2 linked regions of the Drosophila melanogaster genome follow. The protein of the gene in region 1 interacts with the protein of each later gene in a pairwise test. Each region holds a gene or a part of one and is shown on either strand. Other genes may lie near its edges.

Region 1 (10,389 bases):
ACGTTCATGCAAAATACTTTGCAAGAGCTCATGAAAAACCAAAATATCCTGATTCAACTTCTTGTATCTTCAAAATCCCCATAATGGCTTCCCTACGGATATCTCTGTGGAACGCAAATGGCGTTTCACGGCATACACAAGAGCTCACACAGTTCATTTACGAAAAAAACATCGACGTAATGCTACTATCAGAAACGCACCTCACAAATAAAAACAATTTTCATATACCAGGATACTTGTTCTATGGTACAAATCATCCAGATGGTAAAGCTCATGGAGGCACTGGAATACTCATCAGAAATCGCATAAAACACCACCACTTAAACAATTTTGACAAAAACTACTTACAATCTACGTCCATAGCCTTACAACTCAACAATGGTTCAACGACTCTAGCCGCAGTCTACTGCCCACCGCGCTTTCCAATCTCTGAGGATCAATTCATGGAATTCTTTAACACACTAGGTGACAGGTTCATCGCAGCGGGTGACTATAACGCCAAGCACACCCATTGGGGATCACGACTTGTGTCGCCAAAGGGTAAGCAATTGTACAATGCGCTTACGAAGCCAGAAAACAAGCTAGACTATGTATCCCCGGGTAAGCCTACATACTGGCCAGCAGACCCAAGAAAAATCCCAGACCTGATCGATTTTGCAATTACTAAACATGTCCCCCGCAACATGGTCACCGCCGAAGCACTAGCAGATTTATCATCAGATCACTCACCTGTTTTTCTAAATATGCTAACTCGCCCCCACATCGTCGACCCACCGTATAGACTCACAAATTTTAGAACAAACTGGCCAAGGTATCAGAAGTATGTCTGTTCACACATAGAACTAACGACGGCATTATCTACAAAGGAGGATATAGACAAGTCAACGGAAACTCTTGAAAACATTTTAGTTTCGGCTGCAAAGGCTTCAACCCCGCCAGTGACGTATGCAAAACCAAACTACATCAAAACTAATCGCGAAATCGAGCGGCTGGTTTTAGATAAACGACGCCTACGAAGGGATTGGCAGTCTAATAGATCACCAATTACTAAGCACATGCTTAAGATAGCCACACGCAGGCTTACCAATGCTCTCAAACAAGAGGAAAAAAACAGCCAACGTTCATATATCGAGCAACTCTCTCCCACCAGCACTAAGTACCCTCTTTGGAGAGCTCACAGAAACCTAAAGACTCCAATAGCGCCAATTATGCCACTACGAAGTCCCTCTGGCACCTGGTTTCGAAGTGATGAAGAAAGAGCCAGTGCTTTCGCTGACCATTTACAAAATGTATTCCGACCAAACCCCTCTACCAACACATTTATTCTCCCTCCTTTAATAGCAGCCAATCTAGATCCTCAAGAACCCTTTGAATTCCGACCATGTGAACTAGCAAAGGTTATCAAAGAGCAACTGAACCCAAGAAAATCGCCTGGCTACGACCTAATAACTCCAAGAATGCTCATTGAACTCCCAAAGTGTGCTATTCTTCACATCTGCCTGTTGTTCAACGCAATCGCCAAGCTTGGATACTTCCCTCAAAAATGGAAAAAGTCGACCATAGTAATGATTCCAAAGCCAGGAAAAGATAAAACGCAGCCATCATCATATAGACCGATAAGCTTACTAACATGTCTTTCAAAGCTGTTTGAAAAAATGCTACTCCTTCGGATTAGCCCTCATCTTAGAATAAACAACACACTTCCAACACATCAATTTGGCTTTAGAGAAAAACATGGAACCATCGAACAGGTCAACCGAATCACGTCAGAAATTCGTACTGCTTTTGAACATCGAGAATACTGCACAGCCATTTTTCTAGACGTCGCGCAGGCATTTGACAGAGTGTGGCTCGATGGACTTTTGTTTAAAATAATCAAGCTGTTGCCCCAAAACACACATAAGCTACTGAAGTCATACCTATATAACAGAGTGTTTGCAATAAGATGCGATACAAGCACTTCACGCGATTGCGCAATCGAAGCTGGAGTGCCGCAAGGCAGTGTACTGGGTCCAATCTTATACACCCTGTATACGGCGGATTTCCCCATAGACTACAATCTAACAACCTCCACGTTCGCTGATGATACCGCGATACTCAGTCGCTCGAAATGCCCAATAAAAGCCACGGCACTCCTATCCCGACACTTAACATCTGTAGAACGATGGCTTGCCGACTGGAGAATTTCAATAAATGTTCAAAAATGCAAGCAGGTTACCTTTACCTTAAACAAACAAACATGCCCACCACTGGTCTTGAATAACATATGCATTCCACAAGCCGACGAGGTAACATATCTGGGAGTTCATCTGGACAGGCGGCTCACTTGGCGCAAACATATAGAAGCCAAATCGAAACATCTTAAACTTAAAGCAAGGAACCTCCACTGGCTCATAAATGCTCGCTCTCCACTTAGTCTGGAGTTCAAAGCTCTTCTATACAACTCCGTCTTAAAACCTATCTGGACTTACGGCTCCGAGCTGTGGGGCAACGCATCCAGAAGTAACATAGACATTATTCAGCGAGCACAGTCAAGAATTCTGAGAATTATCACTGGAGCGCCGTGGTACCTTCGGAACGAAAACATACACAGAGACCTAAAAATCAAATTAGTAATCGAAGTAATAGCTGAGAAAAAAACGAAGTATAACGAAAAGCTGACCACCCATACAAATCCCCTCGCAAGAAAACTAATCCGAGTATGCAGTCAAAGCCGGCTGCACCGCAACGACCTCCCAGCCCAGCAATAAACTTATTAGGGCATTAATGAAAAAAAAAAACTATCACTAAGTGAAAGTTAATTAAGTTAGATTAAGATTTGAACACTTATTGTTAGTCTCTTAACACAAAGGGAAGATTCAATAAATAATAAAAATTAAAAAAAAAAAAAAAAAAAAAGAAATTTGCACTTTACTCATCTTGAGCCAAGTAGAAAAGATTTGACACAACGTACAAGTATACAAATTCGTATCAATCATACGCACTGTGGACTATTATTTAACTAGTTACCCTAGTGAATTTAAATACCCGAAGTTTGGAAGATACCAAAACAAAAGTACGTGGATACGTGTATGTGGGATGATAAAAAATGCATTTTTGGCAAGTGTGTGTGTGTGTGTTTAGCTGTTTGGGCACGCCCAAGTGGATCGTTTGGCCTGACACACATCCGACACCCTGCCCAAAATGGCGAGGGCTAGTCCCTAGAGTTCGTTGCCAATCGAGAGACACCGCAGACGTTCTGGAATCCGCCATTACGGCCAGTGCATAGGTGCCATTTGCCAGGCACTCCAAACTTCGCACACTTGCAGTCCACAAGCACGGCGGCTACACTTCTCACCTCACCGCAGTTCGAAGTCGATAGCCGCCACCATTTTGCATATAAAAGAGTGATCGCGTACGTGCCGCACTTCTCTCGTCTTTTCAACCACGATCCGGTCACGATCGGACCCAGACTTGTGCAACACGAACACTCACAGAGCTATTCCGGCCCAAAAGCCAATTGGCCAGAAAGCCAGAAAGGCAGAAAAGCAGAAAGCCAAACAGCCAAAAAGCCGGGCTTGCCAGTGATCAGCGATCGGCGATCGGCAATCAGTGGCTCAAAGCTTTTGTGGATCGCATTGGGCACTACCCCAGCAGAGCTTTCCAAAACCCACCACAGGTGCTCGAAAGAGACGTCGCCGCCGCCGCCGTGTAATAAAAGAAGCAATTTTGACTTCGTCTGGGGCTTTGGTGTCAGAGAGGGGTTCGAGAAATTGTGCGCGGCATCGTAGCAAACAGTGTAAATGGAGCTTTGATAGCGATCGGAAGGACAAGACTAGAGCTCCAAGAAGTGTTTTTTTACCCAAAGTGTGTTTGCCAGGAAAAAAGAAACATCGATATAAGACTCTAAAAAAGTGTGCAGCTAATACCAGCGATCGATCCAATCCCAACAGGTCCACCTAAAGATGGCAAAACTGTTTGTGGTTTTTGCCGTTTTGGCTCTGGCGGCCTTTAACGAAGGTAAGGTCTCCAATGAAACGCACATATTTTATGCCTCGCCGTAGTCATAAGTTTTAATTATCGAACTGCAATTTGCATTTGGCTGGCGGAAGTTGTTGCCAAGACATCAATTAAAACTGCTCGACGGCCTTCACAGAGAAACGGAAACAAGAAGGCTGGCAATTGAAAAGCCGTTTTCGAGATGCAGATGTGAGTGGAGTGGCGTGGCGTGTCGTAACCTTGATTATGCGAAAAGGACTCGTCCGGCTGTGACTAGTTGGTAAACAACTTTCGTTTTCCGAAGGGACAAACGATTGTTTACCTTGAGTCGCGTAGAAACCCATTCAGCTTGACACTTGAGCTCTGTGAATGCAGTTCTCTGAAACTCAATACGAATCTCAATCCGAGACCACTTGACTTTGACAGGCCATCGATCATGATTAGAGTCGCAGCATAAACATCGCCGTGTTGCTGTCCGTCAATTAACGGTTATGCAAATGCGGCAACTCCCTCGACTTCAAAAAATTCAAATTTAAACTGAGATTCAAATCCGAATCCGATTGCGATTTGAAAAATGCGCGACAAGTCGGCTGTTGCCAAGCGTCGCGAGATGCAAAATGTCAAAGTTAGAGCGCAGGCGCAGCAGCGAGTTTCTAAATTCGCTTTTCAGATTTCGGTTTTTATTTTTGCACCGACATTTATTTGTGTTTCTGCGCTCGGTTCTCTGGTGACATCGTATTTCATAATGCCAAACGTGTTTTTTTTTTTCGGCCAACACACCAAGCAACCAACCAGCCCGACCGCATGCCATGTCTATTTAGCCCGGCCAAATCCACTCGTATCTGTATCTCTGCAGCTGTAGCTGTATCTGTGTTTTTGTAACAGGAAGTGCCAGGCCATGGCGACATGGAACCAACCCAACCCAATCCAAGCCAACTCAATCCACACCCAACCCACATTCGCCGTGGAAATTCTTCCGGTTTTGCAACTCCAACTGCAATTGCATCCATTTATATTTCCATTTCCCTCGTTTCGACTTGCAGCCAGTGCCAGCGATCCGCTCCTGCGATACAAGCGACAGGCCACCACCGAGGAGACCAAGAAGGAGGAGTCCTTCGAGAAGGAGCTGTGCAAGGACAAGGACGCCGGCGAGTGGTTCCGCCTGGTGGCCGGCGAGGGCGACAATTGCCGCGACGTCATCCAATGTACCTCATCGGTAAGTTACAAACTATCTATAGTTGTTTGTAAATATAATTGTAGATACATGGAATGAAAGCTTATTAACATCACTTTTCATGAGGGATTACCATGTCTATCAATACAATATATCTTCATAAAATATACTTAATATTATTACTTTGTATTTATTTATTTTTAAACAGGGCCTGCAAGCCATCCGTTGCCCTGCTGGTCTGTACTTCGATATCGAGAAGCAGACTTGCGACTGGAAGGAGTCGGTGAAGAACTGCAAGTCCAAGAACAAGGAGCGCCGCGTGAAGCCCCTGCTCCATACGGATGAGCCCCTGTGCCAGGACGGATTCCTCGCCTGCGGCGATGGAAACTGCATTGAGCGCGGACTCTTCTGCAACGGCGAGAAGGATTGCTCGGATGGATCCGATGAGAACACCTGTGGTGAGTACTTTGAATAAATATTTTGTTTTTAAGGATTGCCTTAGGTTTTTAATAGCTTTTGGCACACCTTAGTCGAAGCACTTAACAGAAGTAATAAAAAGTGTAATTAGTATGCATTAGCCATTTTATGCATGATTTATAAAAAAATCCAAAAACTTAAATTGCAATAATTAGACATTAGGCCAACTATGGCCAAGGACCAATAAAATGGAATTACCAAAAATAATTGCCTCAATATTGGGGATAATGCGGGCTCGCTCCACTTTTTTTTTGTGAGCACTTTTTCATTTAAGTTTGACATTTGACAACAATAATTCAGTGTGATTCAGCAGAAATTGAGGAGGGCGTCAATAGAAGTAAGCCGCCGCCAAGTGTTGTTTATAGGATTGGCTTTCCCAAAAGCCCGAGGTTGAGTGCTATTACTCCATCGGCTCAAATGATATATGTAAGCCTTCAAGTGGCTCGTGATATGGGTGCACACTTTGTCAGATAATATGCCAATAGCATAAATAATTGATCTTATGTTTCCTTTCTTGATACATCCAAATCCGAATCCGAATCCAATATCTTTCTCTGGTCGAAATTTCTTTAGTTACTCCAGTCGCACCTTAAAACCGGTTGACGGCATTTAGGCATTACCTCAGCGAAGGAGGAACACTTCAAACTCCACTCTCGAAAGCACTGACACAACGGCACACAAGTGTCTGAATTTCGTGTTTCTTTCGGTTTTTGGAATTTGGAAGGGGTTTGGGGATTCCAATGACGGCCACATGCAATGGAACCCCGTCTGCAGCACAGATCCCACGAACCGGTTTCGCAAAGCCCTTTAGCTCCATCGTATCTCGGAGCCAGCTGAACCGCCGCACTCAGCTCGACGGGATCAGCTCCGATCTCGAATGGACAGCGATCTTTGGGTGGAAATGTCAAGTGTGAAGTGGAAACGAAATGTCAGACACGGCTGGTGGCCAGCTGGCTAAAACAGAGGGGGTTGGGGGAATTAAGGCAGTCATGTATGGAAAACATTAAATCATTAATTAGCAACATCGTAATAGCGCTAACCTTGGACTTAATAGAAATCAAATCGAAGCAAAACAAAATGCCGCTCCATAGGTGGTTTCGATTCATGTGTAAATTAGCCTTACATAAGCGGCTTAAGAGCCACGGTTATTTTTAGCAATTGCAGAAAGCCGCAAAAGCCGAGCCAAAAGCGGGCGAAAAATAAACACACAGTCATAAGCACCAAATAATAATACACTATAATAACAAAAGTAACCAAAGATTGATACAGCAGACCGCGCAAAATCGCAACTAATTCATAAAAATACTAATAACATGCCCAAACAGTGAGTGCCATAAGTTTACGCTCACTTCGTTCTTCTTGCACGAACGACATTTCTCAAGTGGCTAACCTGGCATATAAAGGCTGCCTCAACAAGCCAATTAAGTGCCAAATAAATCTGGCTAACTAGCTTCTGCTTCTGCTAGATTCACCACCTGCGATTGCGATCCGTAATGTATATATCTATCTATCTATCTATAAAATGCGAAAATTTGCACTTCTGCCTGACTTTTGAAATGCCCAGCCGAGCAGAAAGCCATGCCCGCGATCGCAAACAATTGAATAACTCCAGTCCAAGTTTAGACCACTTCGCCTTTGGGCCCAATGAGGAAGCTCACGTCTCCGGGAGGCGAAGCAAATGGCAGGCGATTAAAAGAGCGATTAACTGGTCATACATCGTAGTTTTAAAAAGAGCGACAAAGTAACGAGGAAAGTGCTCCGAAAAAATGTTGCCAAATAGTGTAGTTTTACTTGGGCAATAGCCATAAAGCCTATAACTCCACCACATGTGTATTCTCTTCAAGAGAATCCCATGTTTTTAGCTAACTTCAGATTAAAAGTGCATATGAGAATTGGCAACAAATGAGAATGACTTGTGCAAAATGATAAACTAATATCAAATCGATTCGAAAAGAAGTGTTCCAAGAATTCAATCAACACTTTTGATTAATGAATAGATTCAGCTACACATTACCGATTCTCGGAAGTACGTTAAGATCCCACCGAATTTAGCCAAAAACAAAATTCCCCACAATTATTTCTCGGCCACAATTCATCCCAATCTTGGCAAGCTCCTCTTCGGCAATAATGAGCCAGCTCACATACATTCGGCAATCTCCGCGGCAATCTCTGCAAAAATAAATAAAATGAGCAAAAGCCAAAAGCCCTAAAAAGTCAATAATGCCGGTGGATCTGGTGAATACCGAGTGAATACCGAATGCTGAATGCTGAATGCTGCTGAACCGGTCCGGGATGACATAACAGCCGTCTTTAACGACAGATTATTGGCCAATATTGGCAGAAAGGAGGGGAATGAAAGCGGAGCCACGGCGCAAAAAGGTCAACAAAGAGACAAAGCCGGCAAAATGGAAAACACGCAAAAAAAAAAACGAGTGAAAAACTTGATGGACAAAATGCTTTGGCCTTTACATGCCGTGCCTGCCATTTCACTTTGGCCAATACCAATACCAATTCCAAATGCCAAATGAGACAGCGGCAACAATAATTGCGGCTAATATCTTTGGAAACTTTCGCAATTGATTCCGTTTGACGAGCCGGCAAGTGCAAGGCTTACCAATTGGTAATTGAGTGGACCATCATTTGCATTTGGCCCGATAATCGAGCGCCATATTTTCGGGATGGGTGTGGTGTGGCTAATAAGCGAACGCTATCTGCATTTCAAAGCGGCTTCGCTTGATTAACAACACTTGAAAATTGCTCAAAACAAAGCCAAGAAAAATCCCAATAATAATAATAATGAAAGAAACATATGCCGATGAAAAACTCGCATTGTGCAGACATTTTCCATTCACTTTGCGTTTCGGTTTTCCCACCTCTCTTGATTGCTTTTCCAGACCACTTCGGTTCATTGAACCAACCCCGTACCCCCTGCCCGCCAAGCTTTATCCCCTCACCGTTGGCTAATTGCTTAAATATTTATATGAAAAGTTAAGTGAACTTTTGCCGGCCAGGTGAATGCAGGCAGAATATCAATTGTTGATTGGTTATTTGATGGGAAAAGATGACAGGCTGTTTATTGTAATGAATTTGTATTTTACAGGGTATCGATTATCTCTAGTTATATCCCTACATATATCTCTTGCTTACTTATTTTAAGAATGTGCTTTACACACCCCATTTATATGCAAGACTTCTCCTTCAATTCACTTCAGTTTGAGGAATCTTTCGTAATGTACCTTATGATTTCCTCGTCCTAACCCCATAATTTGTACCATTTTGCCCCGCCCACAGATATCGACAACGATCCCAACCGTGCCCCGCCCTGCGATCCCGCCGTGTGCGTCCTGCCCGATTGCTTCTGCTCGGAGGATGGTACATCGATTCCCGGCGACCTGCCCGCCAAGGATGTGCCCATGATGATCACCATCACGTTCGACGACGCCATCAACAACAACAACATCGAGCTGTACAAGGAGATCTTCAAGGATCGCAAGAACCCCAACGGCTGCTCCATCAAGGCCACCTACTTCGTGTCGCACAAGTACACCAACTACTCGGCGGTGCAGGAGACGGCACGCAAAGGACACGAGATCGCAGTGCACTCGATCACGCACAACGACGAGGAGCGCTTCTGGTCGAACGCCACCGTGGACGACTGGGCCAAGGAGATGGCCGGCATGAGGATCATTACGGAGAAGTTCGCCAACATTACGGATAACTCGGTGGTGGGCGTGCGTGCTCCCTACCTGCGCGTGGGCGGCAACAACCAGTTCACCATGATGGAGGAGCAGGCCTTCCTGTACGACTCCACCATCACCGCTCCGCTGTCGAACCCGCCACTATGGCCCTACACCATGTACTTCCGGATGCCCCACCGCTGCCACGGCAACCTGCAGAGCTGCCCCACCCGATCCCACGCCGTGTGGGAGATGGTGATGAACGAGCTGGACCGTCGCGAGGATCCCGTCAACGATGAGTACCTGCCCGGCTGCGCCATGGTGGACTCCTGCTCGAACATCCTGACCGGTGACCAGTTCTACAACTTCCTGAACCACAACTTCGACCGTCACTACGACCAGAACCGCGCTCCCCTGGGTCTGTACTTCCACGCCGCCTGGCTGAAGAACAATCCCGAGTTCCTCGACGCCTTCCTCTACTGGATCGACGAGATCCTGGCCAACCACAACGACGTGTACTTCGTGACCATGACCCAGGTGATCCAGTGGATGCAGAATCCACGCACCATCAGCGAGGTCAAGAACTTTGAGCCCTGGAGGGAGAAGTGCGTGGTCGAGGGCAAGCCCGCCTGCTGGGTGCCCAACACCTGCAAGCTGACCTCCAAGGAGGTTCCCGGGGAGACCATCAACCTGCAGACCTGCGTCCGATGCCCCAACAACTACCCATGGGTCAGCGATCCCACTGGCGATGGTTTCTTCTAAGTCAGCGATCTTAGCCCCATGCCCCCCTTGAGCCCCGAGCTCTAACCCAAACTCTAACCCAAACTTAACCCATACCTATCACACACCAAACCCTAAGCCCTAGCCCAACACAAACTCGATCGATTATCGCCCATTTGAATTTGAATTGCAAGACTTTTACGAGTGCACTCGTACTCTCTATTTGACTGATTTCGAGGATCAAGTCTTTGCTGTGTTACGGTTATGTTAAATCAAAAATGAAATGAAATTCGACATGAAGACAAAACAAAAGATATTCAAAACTGCAAGCCACAACATCCGAACTTGTGTTTACACTCTTTT
Region 2 (7,671 bases), on another chromosome or scaffold:
CGATAAAAAAAAAAACAGGAACTGAGGTATCTTTACTCTAATGATCGGACTGTATGTTATATCGCCTCTCCTCCGCCAATTATCTATATTTAAAATCATGTAACTCATTATGACTGCATGATAGACATGAGATGGCAAATTGATTAAGCACAATTAATTGTAATTAATTACAAGGAGCCATCGCCATTATGTCATCCCGTCCAATCAATTTGTTAACCTTTCCATCGCCCTTAAGTCTGTTACATTTTTCACATACAAAAGGAAATGGCTTTTTAAGAGATCCATATTATATTGTTGTTAATTTTGAGCATGCTACCGTTTTGGGAAAGTGGCGCCGCCTGCTGGCCAAGTAGTGCAATTAGCCGAAAGTAAAAGTGGGCTGCACTGCGGGAAATCGGGGGTACATAACATATATAGCTATTGTCTGAAACTTTAGCGAGTGGAAAGGTTTTCCCCGTGCCCATTTGAATGGCAGACATGTGGATGCTTTCGGATCGCTTTGGCTCGGTTTCGTTATATGTATTATTCGTTAGATATATGTTTGTATATATAGATAGGTGTCTATGGTTATATCTATAGACATGTGAGGCTCGCGTGCAATCATCAATAACCAGATTTCAATGCCAAGACCTCTTGCAGTCCCCGAAATTCATTAACATTAGTCGAAATGAAAGTTTTCCCAGCGGACACATAGTCACCTTGAGAACCTCAGCACCGGAAAAAATAATTAAGCCTAGAATGAGAACAGATGTCAGTTGAGAAAGATACAAACAAAGCAAAACTTATAGACCAGAATTATATGTTAATTTATGCATTTAGTTTTTATGATAAACATGTTAATGGTTCTAGTGTGTTCTTACTACCTAAATGATTTGGTTTTTCATATTTTTTCGTCATGGCTTGAAATGCTTTGACCTTAAAACAATTTAAAATTAATTAATTTTCAAACAGAACCCATATCTGTTTGTGTGCTTTATATTGCAAGATTATTATTTTCATAAAAAATTTATAAGCATGCATGTTTCAAGATTTTGAGACAGTTACGTGCTTTTTTCCAGATTCAAGTGATAGACTTGATATCAAAACACCGCTGAAAAGGACGCAATATGAAATGGGTAAATTCTGGGTAAGGTGGGCGAGGTGGGTGATTATAAGGGGCCGGGTCGGCTGACGTCAAAGTTTTTTGTTCGCCACTTTTTTACGTGCCGTATACGTGATTTATTCGCGAATAGAACGCGGCGAGACACAGGCATTTGCATAATGGAGATGATTTGGTGAAGAAGAGGGTTTGGGGAGCCGCCAGAAACCACAATTATGCAATTTCCTGGCCGTCTCTAAGCACTTAATTATGGTTATTAAAAATTTGGCAAATAGTTTCTTCGCCTTTGTGCGCCCGATCATTTGCACATAGTTAGCTTGAAGCCAGACGCATGTGAAACATCGGAATTGGCCATATCATTATGGTTAAAATAAATTGTATATTTACATACATACATACATATATGCATGTTCGGATGTGGCGTGCCAGCTCTTAGCCAGATTTGCAAATCGGCAACGAGTTGAACGAACGATGGTAGCAATATTTTGACCATCATCATCATTCAAGAGATGACAAACTGCTAAATATTGAAGCAAAAACGTGGAAAAAATAAAAGAAGTGAAGAGAAAGGCAGCCATATGAACCACATTGAATGATTAACACTCTTTAATAGCATTAATGTCTTCATTTGTTTAATTTACTAATTGATTTCGCCAAACAAAACGCTGTATTTTAATGCTTATTGGCTAGTAACCAGAATAACTTGGCTTTGGCTTGGCCAGTAAGTAATAAAAGCCAACAAATGGTAAATAATAGATGGTGGTATCATATCGGACAGTGAATAAGGTCAGTTATAGTTTATTCAGTAGGGGTTTTAGTAAGCGATCAAACTAGTACCCAAAATGAATTAATAAAGGCAAGATAGCAAAGGAAAGAGGTTAGTATTTGCTGGTCAAACCGCCCGTTTTGAGGTCAAACCAAACCCCCTTGAGGGAGTTGGGGTAAATAGTTTTGCTTGCACTTAAACGAAATCAATGCGATTAAAATCGACTTGGCCCAGTCTTGCGGACGGCCAACTGAACTAGCCTTATCAACCATCGAGAATCGGTGTCAGCTAATCGAGCACCCACAACTACAACAACAAACCGCTGTCCCCAATAGTGGAGCACCACTTGGTCATTCCGACCACGTCGCATGGAAATGGAAAACGAGACGAAAACAGAAATGGAAACGGAAAACAAACCTAGAAGCCGAAACCAAAACAGAATAAGAAGCAGCGCCACTCCAAACATGGTCAACGAAATTTGTTTTGTGTTTTGTCACTTTCTCAGCCCAGAACCAAAGAAACACAAACGCGTCATATGGGTGCGCCCTTCAGAAAAATGTGCACAATAATGGGCAAAAGTGTACATGGCTTATAAAGTATTATTCTTACAAATACTGTGACTATAAATCGGATTTAATAACAACTAATCAATTCAATGGACAACTCAGCATTTGCATTATATTAAACCTCTAATGTGAACGCGCTTATGATATTCAAAGTTCAAAGTGTTATTTAGTCAAATAAGGTAATATGTCTGCTAGTAATTTGCCCCCTGCTGTAGTAACTATGTACGTCATTTGCAGGGGTTCTGAACCCAACCCATAGCAGTGGTTCACGTTACACTCGAGCACGTTCTTATCGCAATTAATTGCAGCGCATTGCATAAGCATCGCAAACTTATAGGGTGATACCAAAACGTAAACATAATCTCTGACTCAGCCCAGTGGGTAGCAATTATTAATTATAATTAATAAGCCAAAAGCCAAGGCAAGTCTTGCTTTGATTGGCCAAAAACGCAGCCAGAAGCGGAAAACAAAAACTGAGTCGAATTACACCACAGTTCAAGGGATACAAAAGGGAGTGGGCTGGGGGTCGATATCTGGCTAAGATCGGTGAGCTTACCCAGCCGGATCGGCACTGGAGCGCATCTGAGTGTGTCCACGTCAGCGGGCATCCAAAACAGAGCAGAAATCTTGAGATCCGAGTAATCTAGATATTGTCCTTCAAGTCAGTATTGTGCCACTCAACTGATCAACTTAAGTAGCTTGGAAATTTACATCAAATTATGACAAGTTGTTAGAAAAGTAGTATATACATATTCCTTGGCACGGGCCTTAAAGTAATATACATTTCTTTCTTATAAAATGTTTAATTTTATTACTTGATTTACTTGCAGTTGCATCTGAAGTGCAAGAAGGAAACAAATTAAATATTCACTAGGGCGGAATACTAAGGAAAACTCAAGCCACACACTGAGGAAATCAAAGTAGGAACAACTAAAACTGTAAGTAGTAACGCAAGGAAAATAAGGGAAATTGGGAAAAGGGAAAACAAGCAACATCAACATCTGCAAATCATATGCAGAGCGTCACTCGCATATGGATATGAGATTTCAGATTTTCGTGACCATATCCGGTTGCCAGTCAGCAGTTGCAACTGCAATTGCAGCTTCCATCAAAACAATAGCAAAAACCAAAAGACGAAATGCGGAGCGAACTGAAAACGCAACTTGGGTCTTTTGGGGCCCAGGGAAATCGCATCTTGGCATTCGCCATTGTTGCTATGGGGATTTTTTTCTTTTTTGGCGGGGGGTGTACAATAAATATAGGGTGGAAGTTGCGTAAAACGATGATATGATATTCACACATAGATCGGGCGATAACATCAATAACTAAAGATGATGTGGAAATCAGAAGGTTCAAATGATGTGCCTATAAGGTTACATACATAAATAAATAGATAAATACATACTCTTACATACATACAAAGGTTGTTTTCTAGTCTAGCAAATGATGTTTTAAATAAGAGAAATGTATTTGTAAGAGTACATAACTTGTATCATAAATTAATAATATTATTAAGACTCAACAATGGTTTGGTCTAAAATAATCCACCATTTGATTCAGTGTTTTGAATCCAAATTAAGTTAAGTTTGTTTTTGTTTTGATTTATATCCAGTGTTGAATAAGCTTTTCATGTACTGTGTGTGTGTGTGTGTGTGTGCATATGTTTATGTTCATCTTATCTTGTTTATCTAGCATTGTATAATTAGGTTTAGATTTTGTTAGAATAAGTTTAGATACATCCAGTGCTGTATAATGTTCCAATAACTACATATTTATCTAGTATTGCATAATTCATTTTAGTGTTTAAATAAGTTTAGATAAATCCAGTATTGTTTAATTTGCTGATGAACTTAGCAGTGATTGGCCGAAAGTGGGAAACCTAACCTCATGTTCTAGAAAAAGAATCGCCAACAAATTTCAAGTAAGCAGTGCCTTCTGTCAACTCGAATGTCATTTGGAATTGCCTGAGCTCTATTCAGTTTCGTATACCTCCGGATTACACGTACTAACGTTTGAAAAAAAAAAAACTAAAATTCCAATCAAAATGCCACACAAAAAATTTCCCAGAATGTCACAGGCGCAACTCAAACGTTTGATCAAATCACAAAATCAGAACATAGCAAAGGCCGCGTGTATTTTGGAACCCCCAAAAATTATACAGCAGCCGTCGATGAGGCAGTCCATCATTCCACCGAATCCTGCTTATAGCAAGAAACAGGGCAAAAATGCGGCTCGCCCAAATTCCGAGCGAGCTGGAAAGGTGCCAATGCAGGGGCTGAACCACGTGGTGCCGGAGGACACTGTGAAACAGGTGAAGCAATAAGTATAGTGCAAAAAGCGGGCTTATCGCATAAAATAGTACTTTCAGCATAATCAATCTAAGCAGATGCAACGCAATCGAAGGAATCCATCGTCGAAGATGCAACAAAATGGCAATGAAGCATCCAAGCAGGAGAAGCCCAATCAGCACGAGGACAAGAGCCGTCCCAAGCAGTTGTATTCAAGCGTTGTGGCCAATAAGCAAGACGGGCCCACCGCAGTGAATGCTCCTCCACCCAAGGAGGGCTCATCTGTCAATCAAATTGGATCGTGTTGTCATCATGGCAATGTTTCGGGCGAAAAGCAGAAATGTCCGGATACCAGCTCATCATCCGCCACGTTCACTTGGCCCAGTCAATCGGTTAAAAGCCAGGGGTTTTTCGGAACTAGCGATTCTTCAGCTGACCCATTCAGCATGCAGAATCTGAAGAAGATTGCCCGGGATTTCTTCTCATATCCGGAGTTTCATCCACCGGAGGCCAGCGAAAACATTGCCGCTGCCAATGGCTCCAAGAAAGCTGAGCCCTCGAGGACGAAATCCCAGCCGGGTCTCAACTCTTCGCCGAGAGGCTCTGCCTTGGGTGCCGATAGGTCGGGCCATCCTCAATCGATTGCGGGTGGAACGAATTCTCGCCGGAAGGATTATCCATTGGAGGAGGCCTTCATGACCGTAATCCGCAATCTGCGCGAAAATTATCCGGGCAATGATTCGATTTCATCTTCAAATCGCCCGAATATCCAATTTGATAACTACCAATCGGCGCAAGGTTTCGGCTATGGTTCCAATTCCTATTACAACGCTCAATCGACATCCGCTTACGGCTATCCTCCGACTGGTTTTCCGATGTCCCAGCAGTCAGGCTTCATGCCAAAGTATAACCAAATGCCGACGGCTAATGGTTCAAATTTAAATCAACCGCCATTGATTAGCGAAACTTATCAGGCCGAAGCGCAGCAGCATCCTTGCTGGCCGGTATATATTCCGGAATATGTTTCGCATTTTATGTTCGGTGAGCCACAGGACGCCAATGCCAGCTGCTCTCGTAATTCAAACCACGGCAACAAGATGTAAAATAGAATCCGGAGGGAAATCGGAATAGTGTAGCATTTAAAAATCTATTCATCATTCAACACCATTCGAAAAAAATTGCTAATGTAATACACAGACCAATTCCGTAATCCTAATCATTTATTTTGCATCTATGTATTAATAAACATTTGTAATGTTACAAATATTTTCCATATATTTGTAAGCCAATTACACTTAACCATCTTTTGTAATGATGCAATCCGAAGATAAACAAAAAATGTATGCATCTCAACTACCTCAATTAGAATTTAAGTAAAATGTGTAATGATGATGATGTATAAAGAAATGCCATCAAATTTCACTTTCAACTCGGCGGAAGAAAGTGAAAAACATGCGAAAAAAGAAATTAATGAAAAAATCGAGCAGCTTACCAACAATTGAAATAAAGGAAAAAATCAACTAGTCAGCGTCGATTGTTTGGTGGTCAGTTGTTTGGTTTTCTACTATTACCAAACCAATGCCAACAAAAGAAATTTTTTTCTTTTTTCTTTTTTGGCCAAGTAAAATAAGAAATCAAATAAGATGAATCTTGCCTTATAAAATGTGAAATTTTCCTGCCATTATGATTAGAATTTGGGCTTAAGCTCATTATCTAATCAAAGATATTGATAACACCTGCGAAAAAGCAATTGAAGAAACTTACGATTGATTGATATACTTAATGTGATCGAATTTATTTATATGGCTTTATATACAAGCTAATACATGTCAAATTATATATTATAGAAAGCGTGTTGGTCATTGAACGCGGTAAATTATTCAAGTAGTTGGATATCAAAACCATTAATGTAAATGCAATAGGGTAATTAAATTGTAAAGGGGTATTTATTTACATATCTTTGTAATTACTCTGTAATCGTTTAAATTTGTTGCGCAATCTTGAACATGGAGAAAACTATATCTGATTTGAACAAAAGGATCTTTTGTGCCAAACATTTACGTTACTTGGAGGATAATATGTAATATTGTACAATAGTTAGCATATGTGGAATATTTGCTTTATTTATTTATTTGTACATCGTAGACAAAAGTTTTAAACTTATGCTACAATAGTTATATCTACTGGCTATAGTCGGACTTTTTTAACATCTACTTAAGTATTAGGTTACAATTATTTATAAGTATTTATTTAAGTATTTTATACATATATTATATTCATTGATTCACATTGATTGGGAATTACAAAGATGTGCTATTTGTTTACAGAAGATTCATTATGTTGTCTTTGTTCAGAAATTTAAGTAAATGTTCGAGATTTTCAGGTGTGGGTGTTTTCTAAGTTGTCTGTAAGTTTCGAATGCGAGTTGCTTGATCTATGTGATTGGAGGGCGATGCAATCGTCTAGGATGTGGGGAATTGTCATGTTGTCAATATTGCAGATTGGAAGAATCGGTGCTCATGAGTCGGTCTGGTGTGTCCTAGACATAGTCTAGTTATAATCGGTACCATAACGTACCCAAGGAGGTGCACTTCTTATGTAATTGATTTTGTCATTGATAATGTTTGCCTTTAAGTATCTGTTTATATCAGTGCGGTTGAAGTTTGGGATAATTATCAAGGGCACGGTTGTTGCCTCTTTGGCTAGATTTTTGACTTTAGGAGCATGTTTAATGAGTAAGTCGCTGATCGTTGAGACGTAGAATGTTGTGTTGTTTATGTTGCCGATGGCTTCTTTGCGGAAAGATAGCCAAGATGGATATGGCTTCAGGCTTTGGAGTAGCTTGTCTCGGTGTCTCATCTTCTTGCTTGCTTAATATATATATATGTATATATATATATTAATTTGTAATAACTCAATGGTAGTTGTATAAATACATGCGACAACTAAAGA

What was found. The genes of interacting proteins can lie anywhere in the genome.
Region 2: the proteins of serp (region 1) and CG12992 interact in a two-hybrid assay, tested with the Drosophila melanogaster proteins (one large-scale study listed by BioGRID).

Annotation. Positions count from the first base shown.
Region 1 is NT_037436.4:19,701,030-19,711,418, reverse strand, and holds the start of serp (serpentine), read left to right. Parts: upstream 1-3,403; 5' UTR 3,404-3,944; coding exon 3,945-3,999; intron 4,000-5,021; coding exon 5,022-5,194; intron 5,195-5,360; coding exon 5,361-5,610; intron 5,611-8,920; coding exon 8,921-10,068; 3' UTR 10,069-10,389.
Region 2 is NC_004354.4:17,585,727-17,593,397, forward strand, and holds CG12992 (uncharacterized protein), read left to right. Parts: upstream 1-3,138; 5' UTR 3,139-3,204; intron 3,205-3,261; 5' UTR 3,262-3,369; intron 3,370-4,231; exon of another isoform or gene 4,232-4,288; 5' UTR 4,289-4,475; coding exon 4,476-4,742; intron 4,743-4,790; coding exon 4,791-5,822; 3' UTR 5,823-5,980; downstream 5,981-7,671.